Mus musculus: one gene and its partner. The protein of the gene in region 2 purifies or fractionates together with the protein of the main gene of each other region. This does not show direct contact. Links are inferred from orthologs where the notes say so. Each region holds a gene or a part of one and is shown on either strand. Other genes may lie near its edges.

Region 1 (4,425 bases), on a different chromosome or scaffold from region 2:
GTATTTGATGCTAGAGTAGAAAGGACCTCAAAGACAAAATTTTATGTCCTATCATAGAGCATGGCACAGGCCAACCACCAAGATGTGTTCAACCAAACCTGGCTGTCTAGATTGACAATATACCTGCCAGCTGCCAGGAGCGCTTCTGCTCGCATCTGGAGCAGGCGATAGAAGCGCATCTTGAAGGTCAGCCGCTCAGGCTTCCCAGGATCCGCGTGAGGGCAGTACACATTGATCAGGGTCAAAGTCTTCTCCTTCCCTTCCAATGTGCTGGGAGAAAAGAGCCCCACAGAAGAGGTCAGTTTCAAGTCTCCCCTTCATATCCACCCACCATGCAGATTCTAGTTAATGGTTATCCATGGGATGAACAAAAAACGGTTAGGAGAAATAAATGAGCAAGTCTTGGGGGGATGGACTTTGGATAAGGCAAGGAGGGCATAATACCCAGGTAAACTGGGTATAATGCAGCCATTTATGACTATAAGATACCTAGAAAGAAACCAACTTAGGATGATGAGTTCTGTGCTGGCTAAGCTATTTTTGAGGAGCCCATGGTAATTAAAAAGCTATTCTTTCAGGCCAGTCTCCCTCTGTAGAGAGGGGAACACAAGGCTCAGAAGGAAGCATGAATTTTCCAAGATCACTCAGCCCAGCCTGGACTAAAATACAGGAAGGCAAGTTTGGGAACATTTTTATAGCAACTGAATACCTATAGAATGGGCCTTATATTCTAGACACAAGGACTAGAACCAGTGATGGCCTGTAAGAGGAGGATATGGACTATTACCGGATCTTGTGCTGTGTAAGGAGGGCCCGGCCCTCACTATCCAGAACCCGGAGTTCCTCTTGCGTGAACTCATCCATGTTTCCATAGCAACCAATATCTCCATTCAGGGTGGCAAACACACCACTCAGGCCTTCTTCAGCAGCTACTGGGGTAGCACTGTCCTTACAGAAGGTAGCCACACCTGGGGACGGACAAGAGCATTCTGAACGGGGTCAGCAGCCAATATATCATTGTACAGCCTATCCCACTCCAAGTGTATCCATATAAGGAACAGCTTTGGTTATCTTTGTCAAATTTAACTGTTTCAAAAATGTAAGGACAGCCAGGCGTGGTGGCACACGCCTTTAATCCTAGCACTTGGGAGGCAGAGGCAGGCGAATTTCTGAGTTCGAGGCCAGACTGGTCTACAAAGTGAGTTCCAGGACAGCCAGGGCTATACAGAGAAACCCTGTCTCGAAAAATCAAAAAAAAAAAAAAAAAAAGTAAGGACAATCCTCCTAACTCAGGGGCCATACATGGCTCTGTAGCGTCTTAAAGCATCTGAGGCCTCAGTTTCCTCTTAAAAAGCCACAGAATAGGGCAGTGGTGGCGCACGTCTTTAATCCCAGCACTTGGGAGGCAGAAGCAGGTGGATTTCTGAGTTTGAGGCCAGCCTGGTCTACAAAGTGAGTTCCTGTCTCGAAAACAAAAAACAAAACCAAAAAAAAAAAGCCACAGAATAATGTTATATTTTACAAGAACAATAATAATGTATTTTACACATACATAGCAAATGCTGATGAAAAATTAGCTATCATTATTACCTCATGCAAGACTATGTCTAAACCCTTGTGAGAGCCTAGAAAATAACCATTATCCTTATTTTCTCAGTGAAAAACCTGAAACACAAAGGTAAAGTAACTTGTCAGAAAACACAGAGAGGATGTGAGCCAGGACTTGAACCCTGGCAGTTAAGGTCCAGTGCTTATACAGTTAACTCAGAAGAAGTACATTACTATACTTCTGAGGGACAAAAGGAAACTTCGGTGCATAAATATGAGGTTTCATATGACCTAAAATTAGCAGCATTTGCTTTGGAAATGAAAAGTCAAAATATGTTACCTTCTTATTAAATACCAAAACACTCCTTTTCTCCATCACCAATGCTAACATAAATACCCCCAGAAGACCTCATTTACCAGAATAGCCACTACGGCTGCGGCTGAAGCTGAAATAGGAGTTATAACCCTCAACAATAGCCAGGGGCTCTGTCAGTACATCTCCTAAAAAAAAAAAAAAGAAAAAAAAGTAAATATAAAGTCAGAGGTAAATTAGCACCATGGACCCATGAAAGACTGGAATTACAGTTATAGGTTAGCATACATCAGAGCTGTAATTGAGGGTCAGGAGAAGTGTTTATGTTGACAGGAGCTAGAGAGATGGGAAAGTCAGGAAAGAAAATTATATTCAAATTAGATAGGGAAGCAGAGGAGGGCAAATCAGAGCTAAGTCTTGTGATTTAGATTAAAGTACTCACAGATGCTGGCAGTGGAGATTGGGGACCTGAAGGGTGGGAGGTAGGAGAGGGAATTAGGGAATTCGAGCTGGGAATTATGGGAGAAGAAATTAGGTCTAAATTTGAGGTAAGATATCAAAGAGGAATGAATCTAGGGCCTTGAGGTGGAGAGAAAAGAGGAATTGGAGATATGGGAAGGAGAAATTAAGAGTCTGAGCTAAAGGCAGAGATTAGGTGGGGATTAAGGACTGAGGTGGGGGCAGGGATGGAAAACTGAGGTGTTTGGCTTAGAAGAATGAAAGGAGAAAATTCAAGGCCCAGAGTTCGGGCTATAGAATGAGTGGGAATCTGTGTATGAGGGTTTCAACGGGGAAAGCAGGCCAGGAGTCGGAATTAGGGGTTCTAGCTGGGGTGGGGTTGTTTAGAAAGAAAAGGATCAGGCCTTTCAGATGGGTATAAGGGCAGGATTCTAAGTATAGGAAAACGAAACGCGAAATGAGACAGAACAAAGGTTAGCATCAAAAGGAAAACACCGTAGAGATCTTGGATTCTCGAATGCTCACTGGTCACTTTGGTCTCCTGGAGACAGACAATATCAGCATCCAGCTCGTCCAAAACGCGTCGCAAGGCCGTGGGACAGCTGCTGGGTTCCTGGCATGCAAGGCCTTGCAGGGGACTCCGGATCCCATTGATGTTCCAGCTTACCACGCGCAGCATTTTGGTAAACGGTACAGTTTCCCAAAGGAAGCTTAGGCGGGCAAATGCATTGCTGCCCGGAAGTGAGCTGGCTCCCCGCCTTCCTCTCGCGTTTCCACCGGGCGTTCTCACCTTCCCCTCCGCCCCCTCCGACGGCAGGACGCAAGCAGGGCGGGACTTCGAGTTCAGTTCTCTTAGGCGGGAGACGGAACTAAGGTGGAGGCTGTAGGAAAACCGGGCTTGATCAAACGAGCCTGTCACCCCAGTACTCAGGAAGCTGAGGCAGGGTCAGTAATGAATTCAAGGCCAGCCTGGGCTACATAGCAAGACCCAGACCAAAACCTGGGAAGAGTAACTGGTGAGAGGCGCGTCTCTGGTTGGGCTCCTTCTCTTCTGGCCGCATGCTGGCCTGGACGCCCGAATCTGACTGCTCTTCTCTACTACAAAAGTACCCCCTGATGCGCCAGGTTACTGACAAATGGGATTTTGTCCCTTTGTCAAGGGGCAGGCCTCTGGGGAAACAAGCTGAGCCAACGCCCTACCCGGATCGAGACAGGACTCTGGCTTTAGTGAGCGGCCCCTGGCGGTGGCTGAGGGGCTTCTGCAGACCCTGGAGTCCTTTTGGGCAGTGGCGAAGGGAACTTTCTCCGTTAAGCAATTAAGAACCTAGCTAGCCTCCGTTTTAATGGAGTCTGGAGGAAGGAGACTGCCTCAAATCCTCCCTGTATAGCCATGTTTGTCTTGACTCTCAAAGCATAAGACAGACTTGCATTTGGCTCCATTTCTCAGATGAGCAAAATCGAGGCCTAGACCATTTAAGCTCCAGAATAGTATCATTTCCCGATGCAGTTATGGTTTTCCTGTCTATACCGTGTCCTTTCATTCTTAGGATAATCCAGGAAGAGGCACTGAAGCTAAGTAGAAGTTGAATAAATTCGTCTCAGCCTCACAGAAGTGGTAGAGCCAAGATTTAAACCCTTCTTAATCAGGTAAACAATTGATTTTTTTTTTGTCCACACACCTCTGTGTTTACGTCTTTTCCTGTGGGCACCACTGCACTTTATGGTCCATGGCACAGTATTTACCACAGTGCACAACCCCCATTGATTTCCGTTGTCACTAGACTGCCAGCAGCCTGAATGCAGTGGCCATCTCTGACCCACCTTATATGATAACGGAATAAATATTTAGCAAATGGATGAATAAGCAGGGCAGTAGGGATGAGTTCTCGACTTATTTTTTTGTGACCACAGAAACAGAATTAACAGGAATCGCCCTATTTCCAGGAAAACTATAACTTTGCATCCTAAGGGTTTTTTTTTTTTCCACTGAAAATTGCTACAAAGTTATTCCCATTCGAATGCACACACCCTCAGAATTTCACAGCCTTTGAGCCATCGTCTTCATGGCTATACAGAGCCACAGTAGGCTGCCCCTCCCCCACCCC
Region 2 (3,810 bases):
TAAGAGCACCTGCTGCCCCTCTAAAGAACCCAGGATCAATCCCAGCACCCACATGGTAGCTCACAACTGTAATTCCACTTCTGGGGATCTGATCCTCTTCTGGCCTCTGCAGGGCCAGGTATGTATGCAATGCAGGCAAAACACTCATACACACAAATTAAAGATAATAATTTTTTCTTAAAGGCGAGAGAGAAGGCAACCTGGGGGAAACATCGCCTTTCCCCCTGGACTCTGGGCTCCTAGATGCTGGTGCCCGTGCTGGTGCCCGTGCTGGTGCCAGCACTGCTGATTTCCTCTAGTCCCCCTGGCTCCAGCTTTCCCAGCCTGAGGCTCTACCTCCAAGGGCTCTCCTTCTAACAGACTCAGTCTCTTCCCCTAAGAGACTAATCTGTGGTGTCCCTCTGTCCTCATCCACCGCACAGCCATCTCCACCCCATCCTTGTCCCCAGCACCAGAATTTCCCAAACTCTTCTGTTGTTCCTACCACCCCACCCTAAAGCGGGTCATTGTGTCTTCTCCCTAATACACAACAGCCTCCTGATAAATGGCCCTTTCTCCTTCAGCTCTCCAAACAAAGTCCATGAGTTTCTTAAACTGTTCCACTAAGCACCCTTGGTCCTCAGACTATGATCAAGCTCCAAAATGATCAATCAAAGCACAGGGACCCCAGTTGACAGTGCCCACGTGAAGAACCTGACCGTCTCTCACCAGACCAAACCCTTTACATCTTGAAACAAATCAAGACAAGATAGGAAGCAGACTAAAAACAGTTTTTGCATTATTTTAGGTGAAGCAAGGGGCGAGTCTACCAAATGTAGACCCCAAGCTCACAGGCATGCAGTAGCTTTGGATGCCCTACAGCCCTGAATGACAGAATCCTGGAATCTGAGTCTGGCTGCCCCTGGCCTCTTGGCTTCTGCCACAGCCACTGCCCAGCCCTAGGGCAACAGTGCTAGCCAGTATCTGCCCTTTGCCCACACTGCCTGCCAATAGGCTCATGCTGGCGGCCTTCCACTGCTCCAGGCCTTGGGCTGTCCTGTGCCTCCAGCATTTCTGCCTTATTCGCAGCCTGGAACCTTTGTTATTTTGTCTTATGTTTGTTTGTTTGTTTGTTTGTTTGTTTGTTTGAGACAGGGTTTCTCAGCATAGTCCTGGCTATCCTGGAACTCTGTCTGGAGACCAGGCTGGCTTTGAACTCAAGAGATCTGCCTGCCTCTGCCTCCAGCTAGGACCTTTTAAAATCAGTTACATTTTGTAGGCCCCCTGTCTCTGTGTCTCTACACGAGGGCCCCCTAAGCTCAGCTCCACTCTTTTCCTGAAGTGTTGTCAGTCAGACCCTCCACTTAGTTCCAAATCCACGGGCTAGTTGACTTTGTCATAAAATATCTAGCGAGCAGCTCAAACTTCACATGGCTGTGACTGATTGCGCTTCCTCGCAAAGCCCCACCCTTCATCCCTATACCTTGCCCCAAAGTTCCTCTGAAACAAAGTAAAGGTGCCCGGTTCCATCCCCTGGGCTACCCAGATCAGAAGCAGAGGGGCTTTCCTTGGTTCTCTTCTCTGGAGCCTGGACATCTAACACGACAAGTCTCATAGGTTCTATCTGTAACTTTTCTGGTTACCACAGACTGGTCCAAACCACACCTTCAACCTCACACAATACCCTCCAGATGGGTCTCTCCACACACCAGCCAAAGCTTCTGGGGACTTCCACATCAGTTCATGAGAAGCCCAAAGCTGACAGCTGCTGTCCTCTTTGGTGGCTCTCACTGAACCTGGAGCTCACGGATACTGACTGGTCTGCCCCAGGGATCCCATCTCTGCCACTGGAGTCCTGATAACAGTCAGCCACCATGCCTACCCTCACTTTATCTACACTGGCTTTTATGTAGGTTCTGACATCTGAACTCCGGTGCTCATGTCTGCATGGTAAGCACTTTTATCTACTGAGCTATCTCCCAACTCCCAATCTAAGTTTTCACTAGTGTAAATCAGATCGTATCGCCTTGCTTGAAACCCACAGTGGTTTCCCACACATCATTATCCACCTCAGCCTCCTCATCCTTCTCTGAGGCCCCCTCCCCTAGCAGACAGCCTCAGTCACCACAGTCCACTGCTACAGTACTCCCTCACGGGGTGTCACCCCTTGGCAGTCAGTCCTCCCTTGATCGCCCCGATGTAAAGGGGAAGCCCTACTCCCTGTGCAGTCACTTCCTACGACATCACCCAAGTGTAACTTCTTCCAGAATTTATCACCAAAGTTTGGAGAGAGGTTAAGTTTGGGGTAAGGCTGCCAAAATTCAAATCTTGACTCAGATAAATGGTATCACCACGAGTGTCTCCATCTATCGTCTGTACACTAGAGCTAGTAAGGCTGGACAGATGGCTCAGTGGTTAAGAGCAACTGCTATTCTTCCAGAGGACCCAGGTTCAGTTCCCAGCTCCCAGATGGTGGCTTGAGCCCATCTGTAACTCCAGTTCCAGAAACATCTGATACCCTCTTCAAGCAAAGTGCTTACATGCCAAGGTTTCAATAAATAAACAACCCTTTTAAAGGGGGACAGTAAAGGCCGCTACTCTTCAAACCATTAGAGTAACTAGGAAATGAAAACAGACAGCATGATACTGGCCCTCGTGCCCCTGAAGAGTGAGCTGCCATTGTTAGCAGCTCTCAGATCTCGCCCCCTCAAACAGGGTCTACCCACTACACATACTAAGTCCCTGCCTGTTATAATTAAATGAATATATAAAAGAAAAACCTAAAACTGTGGGGAGAAGGGAGTCCAAGCAACTAAATCAGAAGTGTCTAGGAGCAGAGATGGGGGGGGGGCGGGCACAGAGCCACACATCACCCACCCCTGGGAGACACAGGTGGAAGAGTTTGTGGCAACAGGCAGTGTTCCTCATGCTATGTACTATGTTAGCTTCCTGCTGCTCAGGCGCTGTGTTAGCTTGGCCTGGGGCCTGCAGATCTGGGAGGCAAGGAATTTGCACTCTGGGTCCCGGAACCTCTGCCCTCTCCTCTCTTTGGGTCCTTACTCCCCTTTCCAGGCCTATATATTTCTATTTGTTTGTGTATTGAATGATAATTCATGACAAAAGATTTGTGTCCTGAGATGAGTGAACTTAAGGAAACCATGGATTATGAGTAACACTAATGGCATTTCCTCCTTGTCTGTCTGTCTGTCTGTCTGTCTGTCTCTGTGAGGAGTGTGGCAGGTGGCCCCAGTTACAGAGGGCAAACTAGCTTAGTTGAAGGGATATTGAGAGACATACCTGGGTTTGGGGTTCAGCGCAGTGGCTGAGGTGCTAGGCTCTCCCCTCAGGAGGGAGGAAAAGAGAACCCTACTCACCCAGGTTAGGAAATAGTGTTTGCAAGGTGCGTAGCCAGGTGGAAAGGCTGGGGAAGGAGAGGCTGCACGCTCACCTTACAGCAGCAGTGCAGGCAGCAGAGGGAGGGCGAGTCGTCATGGGGTCCTAAGGGGGTGACGCACACAGGGCATTGGTCAGGGCGAGTGGGGACCACCTGGGCCTGGGGTACTCGCAGCCCTGCCGCAAGGAGCAGTGGTTCTGGGTCATCGCTGTAGCTCTGCAGCAGCTGCTCTGTGCCCCAGTGGGAATGAGCCAGAAGGTGCTGAGCTACATCTGGCTCCAAGTTCAGCGTCTCCTGCACCTGCCGCACCGTCTGCTCCATCAATCCTTCTACCTCCTGGGGACTCATGGTACGGCCTGCAGGCAGCTGTAGAGATGCCAGGGCCACCACAGCTTCTGGGCTTAGGGAGAGAGAAAAGACAGTGTTTAGCATCTCTG

What was found.
Region 1: the proteins of Cul9 (region 2) and Apex2 purify together in Homo sapiens (affinity purification with mass spectrometry; 3 studies listed by BioGRID and IntAct, counting the BioPlex papers as one, with this or other methods). This does not show direct contact. The link is inferred for Mus musculus from reciprocal best matches to the Homo sapiens genes CUL9 and APEX2.

What each region holds. Positions count from the first base shown.
Region 1 is NC_000086.7:150,585,078-150,589,502, forward strand, and holds the start of Apex2 (DNA-(apurinic or apyrimidinic site) endonuclease 2), read right to left. Parts: upstream 3,079-4,425; 5' UTR 3,000-3,078; coding exon 2,846-2,999; coding exon of another isoform or gene 2,816-2,845; intron 2,410-2,815; exon of another isoform or gene 2,368-2,409; intron 2,050-2,367; coding exon 1,966-2,049; intron 969-1,965; coding exon 788-968; intron 271-787; coding exon 124-270; intron 1-123. UniProt on the Homo sapiens protein: Functions as a weak apurinic/apyrimidinic (AP) endodeoxyribonuclease in the DNA base excision repair (BER) pathway of DNA lesions induced by oxidative and alkylating agents.
Region 2 is NC_000083.6:46,504,840-46,508,649, forward strand, and holds part of Cul9 (cullin-9), read right to left. Parts: intron 3,774-3,810; coding exon 3,428-3,773; intron 1-3,427. UniProt on the Homo sapiens protein: Core component of a Cul9-RING ubiquitin-protein ligase complex composed of CUL9 and RBX1. The CUL9-RBX1 complex mediates ubiquitination and subsequent degradation of BIRC5 and is required to maintain microtubule dynamics and genome integrity.